Caenorhabditis elegans: one gene and its partner. The protein of the gene in region 1 interacts with the protein of each later gene in a pairwise test. Each region holds a gene or a part of one and is shown on either strand. Other genes may lie near its edges.

Region 1 (7,831 bases):
AAGTGTGATTTGTTTGATGGTGATTTTGTGGGGAGTAGAAGGGAGGTGAGCCTTCAAGGCGACTTCTTGTCCATTTGCATTGAAAGCTTCTTGCTCACTTGCTCGGCTTTTAGCGCCTTTTTCTCCTCCTTTTCTTGTTTGCGGCGCAGCGCCTTCTGTTCACGCATCATTTCCTACAAAAAATTTTTTTTCAGCAAGTTGATCATTTTTTGAACAGAAAAGAAGTATTGAAGGTGTTCTAAGTTTGGGTGGTCCATAATAATAAGATTTGCGTGGTGGTCCAAAAATGCTTGTTACTGGGTGGTCTATAAGTGTACATGGTGGTCCATAATTATACAGGGTGGTCCAAAATTATAGACCACCCCTAAAAAATTTAAATCATCAAAAAATTTAAACCGTCTAAACATCATAAGACTTTCCAAAAAAATATACGGGAAGATTTTAGAGTTGCATGGAAAATAAAGAACCTTTAGAACATTTTGAATTTAGTTTTGTTTAGAGATTATCTTTTTTTGAAAATTTTCCAGAATCTAGATTGTCCAAAAAAAATATTTTGACAAGAAAAGTTGAACACAAATATTCTATATTCTTTTGAAGGATTATGAAATCTCGAAACAAGCTCTGTAAAAATCCAATTTTGAGAACAGAATTTTCAAAATTCAGAAAACTGTCACACTCCAAATTTTTTCAGACATTTCTCAATTTTTTTTTGAAAATGTTTAAACCTGTCCACAAAATAGCAATAGGCTCTAAAGTCTAATGAAAATTGGCAAAAATTCCAATAAAAAACTCTGAACTTGCTGGAAACTCAGTGAGGGGGGCCTTCCAGTAATTCATACCTTTCTGGACTTTTTCTTTCCATAAATGCTGCCAAATGTTCCGTCACGCATCGCAGAGTTAAAAGTCTTTTCGATAGTCACCGAGTACCGCTTGCGAACATCATTGATAGCCTTACACCACTCATCTGCTTTCTTTTCGAGATCAAACAAGTAGTAGACGCGGTTGGGCTGAAAATTTGAAATTTTCAGATTCATTGAGTACTATAATGAGATAGACAGCTATGATTATTCTGACCTACCGTATGTATAAAGAAAGTTCCCGAGTTTTTTAGCTCCACCTGCATGCACGGCGTCCATGGTACCTCTCCTTTGAGCACAAGATTCGGCACATCAATGTACAAGAGATGCGGTCCTTCGGTCAACAGGAACATTCGGCGTCTGGCAAACAATCCTCGCTTCTTTTCCAAATATCCTTGTTTCAAAATGAGCGAGTTGTTGGTGAAGATGTGGAATGGGTTTTTGACACGTTGCTCTTCGAGCTTCTGCGCACGTGCGGCGCGGTTCTTTTCGGCTTCCGAATTGGCGCGTCTATAATTTAATGATTATTAAAAATAACCAATTAGGTGCAAATCACTCACGGTGCAATTTCCGAAACAAATGGGTCTCCGCGATGTTCCACGTTAGACGGTCTGAAACTTTCTAAGGGGTTAGTAATTTTTATCAACTATTGAGAATTTTCAGATCAGCATCTCCTTGAATAAGGCATAGTACTGTCAAAGAAAATTAATTGATTTGAATCAATTTTTGATCAGTAGATGCAAAAGAATCATTGCCAGAATTGCAAATGAAAAGTTGGTCAGTGCAAATGAAGAGATGGTCAGTGCAAATGAAAAGTTGGTCAGTGCAAATGAAGAGGTGGTCAGTGCAAATGAAGAGGTGGTCAGTGCAAACTGTTTTTTGGTCGGTGCAAATTTGCACTTTGTCAGTTCAAATCTTTTGGTCATTGTTAATCAGAATCAAATAATTAATAGTTTCAATAAATTTTGGTCAGTGCAAGGTAAAACTTTTAATGCAAGAAAAAAATGCTTCAAACTCACGTTGATGGCTGTGATGCGCTAGCATCATTTCCCAAATTCATCAAACGGAACAAGGCACGATCATCAAGTCCCGGCTCGACAGGCCCAATGTTAGAGTAGTACTCCGGCTCGCCAAATGTGGCTGGAATGTAGGCGTGCAGGACTGGTGGCTTGATATTTGCAATGTTCACCCAGTCAACGTTTTCAAAAAACTTGTGAGCCATAAGTTCTTGACTGGTGATACGGGTACTCGGGTCGCGCACCTGTAAGTTGAAAATTACGTATTCAGTTTTTAAAGTTTCATGTCAACCTACCAAAATCTTTGCGATAATTTCCGACGCTTCCTCTGGAAATCCTTCTGGGAACGAGAAATCCAACTCCTGGATTCTTTTCAAAAGATGGTACTGGTTGACGGCTCTGAATGGTGGCTGTCCGGCTAGACACTGGAAAAGGATACATCCCAATCCCCAAATGTCGGTTCTGAAATCCAACTGTTAAATTTGACATTCTACAAAGAATCGGAGCTTACTGTGGTCCCACATCTCCGTCAGCTAGCATCTCCGGGCTCACGTAGAGAGCAGTTCCAACAAATGTGGTACGTCGAGCAGTGTTCTCTTCTGGAACTGGCAAAAATTGTTTCAGTCAAATTTCCGAAAACCTTACCCTCCTCATCCGAATAGAATCGAGTTGGCGGCGGCGATCCAGAATCCGAAGATCGCGAGCTTGCCTGATTCGCATCCGTAAAGCCCTCCTGTGACAGTTGGAGACCGCCAAACGCCTGGGCACTTCCAAAATCTGTGATGAGAATGTGACCGTCTTTCTGGATGAGCACATTGTCCGGCTTCATGTCTCTGTGCACAATTTTGTTGTCGTGTAGGAATTGCAGTCCGGTGAGGATTTCCGAGGCAAAGAATTTTGAGGTGAGCATGTCGAATGATCCAAAATGGCACAGCGACTCGCCAAGATCACCATTTTCAACAAGTCCGATCACGAAATCTGAATATTAATTGAGGTTTAATTTTTTTTTTAAGTTGACGTTTTTATTGGAATAAAATGATCACAAGTGGATTTTGATGGGTTCAGAAAAGAACCTTGGCGCTGGAAAAAACTCACAAATTCTAGCCTGGTCGTGAAAATGTGTGTAGAGCTGTGTGACAAACGGATGACCACCGCATTCTTGTGACAGGTATGTTAAGATATTCTTCTCGCGAATGATTGCGTCCATTTTTTGATGGCGGTTGAGGTACGACTTCTGGAGCACTTTGACGGCGAACATCGCATCTGTTGCCACTTCGCGACATCGGAATACCTGGAATATTAGGGTTTTACTGGAAGCTTGTTTTTTGGTGTTTTGAAATTTTTTAGGTGCGTCTACAAATACAATGCGGGAAAGGTTCTAATTTTTCAGAAATGTTACTTATTGTTTTGCTAATTATATCCAGAATTTTGACAGTTAATGTGCAATAGTGGCTTCAGTTGAAGAGTTTGCGGTAAATTTGCCAAATTTTCTGTTTTCCGAGCTCGACAATTTTGCCGAATTCGCCGCACACACCACAAATTAGACAAAAAAGATATGGTCGCTAAACTCGGTCAGTGCAAGCTCAATTTTGGCCAGTGTAATTGTTTTTTGGTCAGTGCAGCTGTGTTTTTTATTGTAAATTCGTTCAACTTACAGTTTTTGCTAGAGGAATATTTTTTAATATGAGGCAGAAAATATTATCAGTGTCAGTTGATAAAATATTTTTTTTGTAAAAAGATCCAAAAACGACCAAAATTTGGAAGCTGAAAATTCGTTGAAAATATTTACAGATATAGAAAATAATTATTGTTTTTACGTTTTCAAGATTTGCTATTCAAACACCACTTGGACATTTTAAGTGTGCATCATATGTATAGGGGGGGGGGGCGGAAACTAGTCAGATTTTCTGCTTCTGATCACTACAAACAATCATTTTAACTATCAAAGTGTTTACAACTTATCTGAAAAACAAAACTAGATAATTTTCCACGGATTTAGTCAAGAAATTTCCATTCACTTTTTCAACTCATTGGATTGATAAATAACGAAAAATTATTTCAAGTCGACTATTTTAAGAATCAAAAATTTAATTTCCAAAAAACTGTACTTCCAAATTGGAAGTTCCAACGACATAAATTCCCTACATTCTTCTTGAGTTATACATAGTCAGAGTACAAACCCTTCTCTCCGAAAGTCAATGTAAAGATTCATTACGGTAGTTGTTCTAGGTGTAGGAAACATGCCTCAGGGTCCAAAGCGATAACACGTTCAAAATCAAATCCCTGTGCGCTGTCAATTTGATGAACCCAACAACCACGGTTACATTACCCCTCCCCAATACACACAAACGTCTCGTTTTTCCCTTCAACAAGCACATGTATAGCTGTTTGCGAATGTTGATAGTGCTAGACGCGTGGCTTATTTTGTGTAAGAGACGCAGAACACTAGGTTTGTGTAGACAATTCTATGACGATGTCGTCGTTTTCTGCATCTTCTTCTTTCTCTTCTCCATGCGAAATGAGATTAAAGTGTTGTGGAGAAAAGAGATTGGACAGGGGGAGACAACATGAATGGGCCTACATAGTGCGAGTTCAATTCCCACAGTCGTGTAACCCTGACGCAAAATTGGCCGATTTTTCCGCCAAAAAATACAGTAGTCCGTCTTGGTACGATTTTTGTTTTTTTTTGTTTTGTTGCTAAATTCAAATTGTATACGCCATTGGAAAAGTGTTACGGTCAGTGGTAAAATTACCTAAAAAAACCTTTCGGTGCCAAAATGATGATAACTTACAGTAAAAAAGATTGGAAAACAAAGAGAAATCTAAAGCAATTCTAGAATTCCTACAATGTTGGAATATGAGTATTTGAAACACAGTTAGAGCATAAAAATGGGAAGGTGAAAATTCAAGGACTAGAAAAAAATAAACCAATTTTCCAAATTTTCTAATTTCTTATGATAGTCGCTCATTTTAGCGCCATGAAGATGATTTTTAAATATTTTTTTTAATGACCGTACTAAACCTTTAAAAAGATTTGAAAAACACATACATTTTGAATATACATAAGTAAAAAAAGCTATAAAAATCGATAAAAACTCAGCATTTAACTAATAGTGAGGTATATTGTGTCAAGATAGATTTGTGGCAAAAACTGCAAATTTTTTGCGGCTAGGTAATACCAGTACTATCAGTTGAATTGCCAAGAAAGAATCACCGATGTTCCGAAAAAAATGGGCAAGCTTACTTCAAGCACTAATTCAGGCATTCCGAGTATTTTCCAAGCTTTTCCTTGTACTCTGATACTAGTTGCACACATTTCTGGAAATTTCCTCGTTCACCAACCTGGCTGTAGGCTCCTTCGCCCATACTCTGAAGAAACATGAAGTCGTTGGAAGTTCTCTTCGGACATCCTTCTTTAATGCTTTTAGCTATGAGATCTTCGGCGGTGACTGGGGATAAGCTGTTCTCCGATTCACTTGCTGTTGGTGTTAAGTTGAGCGTCTGGAAAATAAAATTTTGAAAATTATTCTACAAGTTTTTTTTTTTCATTTTTGCCTAGAATAGTTGTAAAATGTGAAAAAAAAAACATAATGGAAGTCAACCAAAATTCATATTTCGAAATTCATATTTAATTAATATTTAATTGTATACTCTCGGTCATCTACATATTTATGCTAAAACGATCTTAGGCAGGTGAAACCTCAAAACTTTTATATTAAAGCATCAACTGCAAATTTTCAAATTCAAGTTTTAGAGCGTTTCATCATGCTATTCGGTTAAGTGTTCCGGCCCAAACATTTATTTAAAAAAAGCCTAAAAAATTTTTTTCGCTACGGAGCCTTAGAATGTTCAAGCTAGAAGTAGGCAAACAGAAGCCATAAGCTTGCCGGCCAATTTTGTATTGTAGGTAAAATTGGAACGTTCTGAAAATTGGACCAGGTGCTTTATCAATTTTTCCTAGACAAAAAAAAATATTTTAAAATATTTTCTATTTAACTTATCTGCTACGTGGCAAAACGTTTTCCCTATAAAAAAGAGTTTTCCGGTTGAATTGGCTCTCCAATTCACAAAAGAATTTAGAACACCAAAAATCTAGGTTTTAGGTTCAAAAAGTGTATTGCAGTTCCCCGCTTTGAAAGAGGGTCTAAAAAACGGGTCTAGTTTGATAAGTGCACCCGAACTTTAAGCCGCATTCCGATGTTCGTCTAGAAACTAGTTCCTCACCGTTGGCGCCGCTTCACGATCCGATGTCGTGTCATTGTTAGTAGTTGTGGTGTCGAGCGACGTGTTAGTTGGTGTGAGATCCTCCATCGAGATGGATCTGAAATTGAAAATTTTACCATTTACTGGATTTTTATGCACATATAATAAGAGGAAGAATATGATTAGAACATGATTATTCGAAAATACTGGCCGACTCCAGTGTTCCTGTTTTTATTTGCTGTTTTTGGCGCACAAAACCGCCTAGCAACGAGCGTGCTCGAATTACAGACTGAAAATGAATCGAAGCAGCGGCGCGGTGCGAAAACAAAAAAAAGGCGAACGTCTTCTCTCTTTTGACTAGAAAACAACGAGGAAACTGCAATACTTGATTTCCAACAAAAACAGATGAGGATTAACATTTGAAAAACAAGGTTTTTGCATATAGCTTTGAGGAAAATCTGTTTTTGGTCAGTGCAACACGAAATTTTGTCAGTGCAAAGGTTTTTGTCAGTGCAAAACGAAATTTTGTCAGTGCAAACCATGGGTGGGCGGCAATTGTCGAAAGGGCCGATTGCTAATTTTATTCAAAAAATGTTTATTTCGGCAACTCCCTGAGTTTTGATCTGCCGAAAATTTTGAATTTGGAATTACCGGCCAACACTTTTTTGCCAGAATAAAAATTCAGAATCTCTAAATATTTTAAGTTGGAAAAAAAATTACACTTATTCTCCAAAATAACACTTATTACAGTGGAATATTGTTTTTAAAGTATTTTTTTAATTGAGAACTAACGAATAATCAATTCGGCGGAAAATTTTGTTTGCCGCCCACCCCTGGTGTCAACTTGAATTTGGTCAGTGCAAGCTTAATTTTGGTCAGTGCAACTGAGCTTTTGTCGATGATAAATTCGTCCAATTTACAGTTTTAGCTACACGTATGTTTTTAAACATAAGACTCAAACAATTGTTAAAGCATCAGATTCATACCAGAAATTTCCAAACAAAAATTAAGAAGCTGAAAATCTAGACAAAATGAGTCTGGTGTTTCAGAGAAAGAAGCAAAGTTCAAGTGTTCAGACAGACATTCACAGGCCCCTCCTCCATCTCTGTCTAGCACCCTCTCATTTTCTAATTCAGCTACTTTTCGGGACGATTATCGCGGCAAACCATCGAACAAGTTTTTGTCGTGTACTGCTGTATTTTCAGATTTTTCTAGCAAGATATATGGGCACGGAAAACAACACAAAAAAAAAGAAAAAAAAATATGGCAAGTATGCAAATTAAAAAACATTATTATCTTGAAATCAAAGAAAATTGGGAAAAAAAGGAAGTCCTCGGAAAAAAGCAAGGAAAAACCGACGGTAAAACCAACACAGACAATTGCCTAGCGTTTGATAAGTGTTAGACGAAAGGCAAGTCTGTGTGCGTTTCTGCGTCTCGGCCGTTCCGCGCAGTGCCTCGGTGCGCGCGTGTGTGTTGCAGCGTCGACCCCCCGGGAAGCAGAGTATGAGCGAAGACGAGGGGCCGCTGGCCGCCGAAGAGACGCAGCCGCAACAAGTACGGTTGTTATCGCTTTCAGGGAGGCCTCCCTTCGTCAGCGTCCACCGCCTCTCCGGAGACAAACAAACATTGTGTGTGGGATGTGTGTGTGTGTGTGTGTGTGGCACAAGTCTATGTGTTGTTTTTGCCATGCCCCCCGCCCACTGACACCATTTATCGATTTTCAGCTTGTTCCTCAAAAAGTATGTAGTATGTA
Region 2 (6,172 bases), on another chromosome or scaffold:
TATGGGTTGAGAATTTGTGGAAACGCTAGAAATACAATAATTTGTGATCATGGGGACATAGAAAAATCAGTTTTCCAAAATTGAGGTTCATTGAAAAATTATGAAAAAATATAATTTTAAAAAACAATTTTGAATTATTTTTCTACATTCCAAAATTAAAAATTCAATTTTAAAACGAAAATTGACATTTGATATGCCAATGTCGAGAAATGGGTGCCATACGGTATTTATTTTTTTAAATATTAAAAACAAGTTTTAACCATTATTTTTTGCCACTACATAAATCTAGGGTTACGAGTTTGAATTTAAAAAAAACGGATTTTCTCAATTTTTTAGGCAGAGTGGCATGAGTATTAAAACGTATGTGTCTTTACTGATTTTTTGAGCGTTTTTGTTTAAATATTTTGTCAAAGTATTTGCAGCGTTATGTTATAATTATCAGAAAAAAATCTTAGCAAATCTAGTCTCTAACGTTCGTCTTTTCGATTTAAACGTATGATTAAGAATATTTAAAATTTACTTTCTAGGCTTTTAGGGGCTACATGCAAATTAAAATCTTACCTGTATAGACGATACTGATCTTTGCGTACGAGCATTGGCGCCCAACATCACGATTTTCCGCATTGGCATCTTGTCGATGGGGCGGGGTCTTCTGAAAGGCGAGAGTTGGGAGATTTAGAGAAGTAAACGAACAGAGTGAAAAGAAAAGAGTTACGCGTGTGGTGAAGAGCACAGATAGACGGATTTGACGAGCTGCCACGCCAGCCGGATGGAGGAGAAGATGAAAAAGCACGGGATATTCGGACCAAGCAAGCACATACATATAAACTAAGTAGTAAGTTAGAAAAGATGTCAGGAAAAAATAAAGAAAATTTTCAATAGAATATGTCCAACCATGTTAGGTATTTGAACTTGAATGTTGAATTAATAAAATTTAGAAATTTGAAGTCAGTTGTAGGAACTTCGGAGAAAGTTTTTGATTTTTGGAATTAGTTATTTTTTAAGTATTTTATTTTAATTTGAAACAAATGTTTCAACAAAGAAGAATTTAGCACTTTCTGTGTAGGAAACTTGATACCTCAAAATTTGGCACATATTGATTTTCGTTTTTTTTTTGTTCTTTTTTGAAATAGGACAAATATTTTTTGTTTCTTAAAAAATGTGAGTAAAAATATATATAGTTTGGGGAAGAAATGTTGTATTGTAATATATTTATGGTGAACTATTTTGCTTATTTTTGTTTGTTATTTTAAAAATTAAATATTTAAAAATAGAAACGAGTTTCAAATAAATTTTGCATCATTTTTGAGTGCAAAATTTATTTCTAAAAAACGATGACTATTTGCAATGACTCAGCGCAAAACATGAAACGTTCAAAAGATGTCGATACACATTACGTGTAAACGAAACTACACATACAAAAGAGGTCAACCAGATAGTTTGTGAGAGGGCAGCTGTGAAGAGCTAGTAGCACTCTAAACAACTAGACAACTACTAGAGGTGCTCTTGCTCTTTCGAAAAGTTATTTCATTTCAACGTAAACATCCTGGCATTCTGTAGAATTAGTTTATCCAGGCATGACACATTCTTTAATTTAAGTTTCCATTGTTTTTCATTACACTCAACTATTTTTCATTTCCTTTCTCATATTTAACCATCCATTTCTCTAACCGGTCACTTTTCTTTTCCGTCTCTCCAACATTTCCTCTAATACGCTGCGTCTCTTCTCCATAACGTCTGAGAGAACATCGATTGTACAGATAAACAGCCGGAGCTAAACCTTGTTTTTCTGTGAAATTCTCGAAAGTTCTACATATTCTGGTGCATGAAACGACTTCAGTTCGTGTCAACTTTACTCGTTTTAACTACAAGAACTTTGGCAAAAGGAATGGCATGGAGATCCAGTGGTTCGACTAATTCGGAGCTCATCGATAATTTGAGAAGTAGGTTTTTTTAATCGAAAATTTAAATATTGAACTTCAAAAACACATGTATATGAAGTTTTTATAGGCCTATAGAGAAATTTAAAGAAATAATTGTGAAAAAGTAAATATTTCTTGTAATATAATCAACAATTAGCAAGAAAAGTTAAGCAAAAAAAGCAACTAGACAAGTTCGAAATGTATTGAATTCACAATTGTAAGAAACCAAAAATTCTCAAAACAAACGCGAGGATAGCCTGAAATTTGAGAGCTTCAACACTTGAATAAGAAGGAAAACAGGCAGTGTCTGAGAAAGAAGACACGAGACACAAACTCAATTAATCCTAAATTGGTCAAAACGAAAGGCTAATGGTCTATTCTAGTTCTGTATAATTACGGGGAACGCGAGCACAAAACTCTTGTCAAAAATGAAAAAAATCTAAAATTTCAGATAATCGAGTGTTTGCCAGTCAAAGAGCCTACGATGCGATGAAATCCGTTGATCGTGGAGATTTTGCTCCGAGAGCTCCTTATGAAGACGCTCCTCAACGAATTGGATATAATGCAACGGTTTCTGCACCTCACATGGTAAGAATTTGAGGAAATTGTTGGAAAAAAGTAAGAAAGTATTTATAATTGAAAGAAAAGCTTTAATTTAAATTCCCACACAACAAAAAAAAACTGCCAACACCTGCAAATTCTGCCAACTGAGTTTTAAGCAGCTCTTTTCCTACTCGCTTTCGCCCATTATCATTTTTTCATTGACAGCACGCAGCTGCTCTCGACTACCTACAAAACCACCTGGTTGCCGGTGCCAAAGCTCTTGACGTTGGCTCAGGAAGTGGATATTTGACAGTTTGTATGGCAATGATGGTATAAAAACTGCATAGATTTAGATAATTGGAATTTAAAAAAAAGTAATTTAGGTTGGCCGAAATGGCACGGTTGTTGGAATTGAACATATGCCACAGCTGGTCGAATTAAGCGAGAAAAATATCAGAAAGCATCACAGTGAACAATTGGAACGTGGAAATGTTATCATTATTGAGGTAAATTTTAAAAAAATCGAAGAATTCGAACATTTTGCACTACCATATGGATTGATTTTTAATAGCTGTACTCACCTAGGACTGTTTTGGGAAGATAAAAAATGAAACTGAAACTATCTAGCATGGTCACATAGACGTGGATTTTTTTTTTAAATACAGCTGGAAAAACTAGTACACGTATTAGTAGTGGAATGCCTTTTCTGTTTCTCTCTCTTGTCTACAACTGTCTGCGCAGGCGCACAATGTTTTTTGATTGATTTTCAAAATTAAATATTAAAAGGCAATATACGTGGCTATCAGACTTTTAAAAAACTTTTTTTTATTGCCAGAAGTTCAAACTGTTCGAGAATTCGGTAGAAGAAAATCTATTTTTTGAAATCTGCGCATACACCCATGCAGTTTTATTATTTTGCGAGTATTCATTTAGTTACAATTTTCAGGTTTTTATCAACGTCATTGAATAAGTAAATAATCTTCTGAAAAACTGTTAAAAATTTGCAGTAAATGAAATCGAAAAGTATATTTGCTATATTTTAAATTAAAAACACATTTTGTGTAGTGTAGATTTTTGAGAATATATAAAAGTCGAAAAACCAGAAACATTGACCAAAAAGGAGAATGACACACAATCAAGCGTACACAAAACTTGTTACAAAAAGCGAAACTTTTTCGAAAAAAAAAACGAATTTAAAAACTACCTCATATTTCTAGGGAGACGGTCGTCAAGGATTCGCGGAAAAGGCTCCATACAATGCAATTCACGTGGGAGCAGCTTCAAAAGGAGTCCCCAAAGCGGTACGTGACTTTGTGGTCGAGAAGAAATAAAATGAAAAAAAACGCGAAATTCGGTTCCCCCTTTTTTCTTGCTGTGCCGTCCGGATCACATGCACACATGCACAAATTGAATCATGAATCGGCAATGAGGAGGTGTCTCTCTATATGCCCTTTTTTGACCAATAAAAAAAGAAAGGAAGAGCCTCTCGGCAGAAATATTGATAATTCTGTTTCGAAATTCTGAAGATCAGATACAGACAAATATGTTTGCAAGAGTACCACGTTGAATATTAGCATAATACGTTCAATTGAACAGATGATGCAAAATTCGATGAAAGTGTCAAACCAAATCGTAGCCTATTTGAATTTCAAATTTTTGGCAATTGTGACCAAATCCTACAATTAACCAGATTGGAAACATAGAAGGTGCATAAAACAGGGCAACATTCCTACATGTGTAATATGATCCAAAATCTAGATAAACTATCAGAGTTAATTATTGTCAAAGCTAATTGAAAGTTTAAAAAAATTATGTCGTAAAGTTGGTGTAGTGCCAGTGGGGATTTTGTCTAAATACATTTATAATGATCCAAGACGGCCGAATATCATAATAAAACACTTCAAAAAAATTTAGATTTTCCATAATTTTCGGTCACAGTTTTGGCAAATTGCCAAAATTAATATCCAAAGAAATGTCGCATGTTCCGACTCCTACATTGTTTTAGTACGAATAATTAAAACAGAATTACAGTATAAAAATGTAGGAAAATGTTTATTTCGGTCGACTTCCAAAATTATGAGTGGCGAAAACTGAGTAATTATCCCTTTAGTCATTTAGCTCCATATGAGTAGTTTTTAACACTTTCCCCACTAGCGCTGCTCCATTTTTTAATTATGCAATTAATATTTCAGCTCACGGATCAACTGGCTGAAGGTGGCAGAATGATGATTCCGGTTGAACAAGTCGACGGAAATCAGGTTAGCTTTCAATTCATAATACATAGCATATTATGCATTAAACCACTTTCAGGTCTTCATGCAAATCGATAAGATCAATGGAAAAATTGAGCAAAAGATTGTGGAACACGTGATCTACGTGCCATTGACAAGTCGCGAAGAACAATGGAACCGCAATTAAATTTCAATGTTTTCTCCCTTTGTACATATACTCAACTTGTGCATATTGTATACCATCTCTATTTATTTTTGATTCAGGTTTTCTTTTGAAATGTTGCGTGTACATATAAACCGTGTTCTTCTGTCAAAAAATTAGTGAACTATTTCTTCAAATGCTTTTTTTTTCTAGGAACCCTTACTCTCGTCTACGTCAAGTGTCATTCATTAGCGAGAAGAGGAGCCGAGTTTTTGAGAAGACATAACTCAGTTTCTTCTTGTTTTACGTTTTCCTACTACACTATGTCGTTTACTTTTTTATCGTTTCTGTTTTGGTCAACAATCGAAAACTTAAATGTCCTTCACTATCTGGATTGTCCATTTTGAGCAATGATTGACAAGTCACCGGAATCATTTCATCTTGTCCTTTTCCGGTAAAAGCACTTAATTGTTGTTTTGGATAGCGTAGGGATCTTTGATCGAGTGCTATTTTCTTGCAGAAAAAGTTCATTTAGAGTTTTCTTTAAAAAATAAAGCCTTCGAGTCGGGTATTGTAGACACAGGGGTTGACAGATGCGCAAAAATTGAGCTGAACCTTTACATTAATCGAACAGATCTTTCGTGCCTCGAAAATGAAAAGCAATGTCTTATTCCCATTTTTTCCGAAAAAAAGAATCCCAAAAAGAAACTGATTTGTGTCAAAAGAAGAACCAAACAAACCGGAAAAAAAACAAGAAAGTGGACAGTCATGAATTAAATCGACCGTACCCACCATGTGACCATAATTTACGATTTTTAAAATACGGTACCCGGTCTCGACCCGACAAATTTTGTTAAATTCAAAAAATTTATCGGTTTTATCTAAAATTTGGGTGTTTTCATTATTTTCACTGACTTTTTTTTTCAGTTTCCTTGAAAACTCAATAAAGTTCCGCAGAAACGAAGATTCTAAGTTACAGTACTCTTTAAAGGCGCACAGCATCTAGCACTGAACAAAAATTTGTCATGGTGAGACCCGTAGTATTGTAGCGAAAAATACAAAATTGGATGTGCAGAACTTGCCGGTTACTGAAAATCCGAATATTTGAAAAACGGCACATTTTTCTAGAGTATTTTTCTTTCAGAAAACTGCAGTCGTCTCTTTTCACCAAAGACACCTGCATACTTTTCTGAAAAATAAAGTACTAGTTACTGTAACTGTGGATAGATTTGTCACATTTTAGAATTTGTATTTAAATTTTGGAAAATGAAGCTGCACATGTTTCCAGCTAGGTACTTCCCTCTAAATCTAACTTCACGCATCCAAAAAAATCA

What was found.
Region 2: the proteins of pdk-1 (region 1) and pcm-1 interact in a two-hybrid assay, tested with the Caenorhabditis elegans proteins (one large-scale study listed by BioGRID).

The regions. Positions count from the first base shown.
Region 1 is NC_003284.9:1,319,716-1,327,546, reverse strand, and holds the start of pdk-1 (3-phosphoinositide-dependent protein kinase 1), read right to left. Parts: upstream 6,204-7,831; 5' UTR 6,185-6,203; coding exon 6,098-6,184; intron 5,375-6,097; coding exon 5,216-5,374; intron 3,165-5,215; coding exon 2,969-3,164; intron 2,852-2,968; coding exon 2,519-2,851; intron 2,479-2,518; coding exon 2,385-2,478; intron 2,336-2,384; coding exon 2,170-2,335; intron 2,119-2,169; coding exon 1,877-2,118; intron 1,475-1,876; coding exon 1,418-1,474; intron 1,368-1,417; coding exon 1,079-1,367; intron 1,008-1,078; coding exon 840-1,007; intron 174-839; coding exon 54-173; 3' UTR 1-53. UniProt on the Caenorhabditis elegans protein: Involved in the daf-2/insulin receptor-like transduction pathway, which controls longevity and prevents developmental arrest at the dauer stage. Phosphorylates and activates sgk-1, akt-1 and akt-2.
Region 2 is NC_003283.11:5,959,421-5,965,592, reverse strand, and holds pcm-1 (Protein-L-isoaspartate O-methyltransferase), read left to right. Parts: upstream 1-1,710; 5' UTR 1,711-1,888; coding exon 1,889-1,943; intron 1,944-2,373; coding exon 2,374-2,510; intron 2,511-2,690; coding exon 2,691-2,795; intron 2,796-2,848; coding exon 2,849-2,971; intron 2,972-3,669; coding exon of another isoform or gene 3,670-3,682; coding exon 3,683-3,766; intron 3,767-4,657; coding exon 4,658-4,723; intron 4,724-4,775; coding exon 4,776-4,883; 3' UTR 4,884-5,393; downstream 5,394-6,172. Other genes in the region: mcp-1 (GDP-D-glucose phosphorylase 1), read right to left, coding at 562-652, 3,670-3,719. UniProt on the Caenorhabditis elegans protein: Initiates the repair of damaged proteins by catalyzing methyl esterification of L-isoaspartyl and D-aspartyl residues produced by spontaneous isomerization and racemization of L-aspartyl and L-asparaginyl residues in aging peptides and proteins.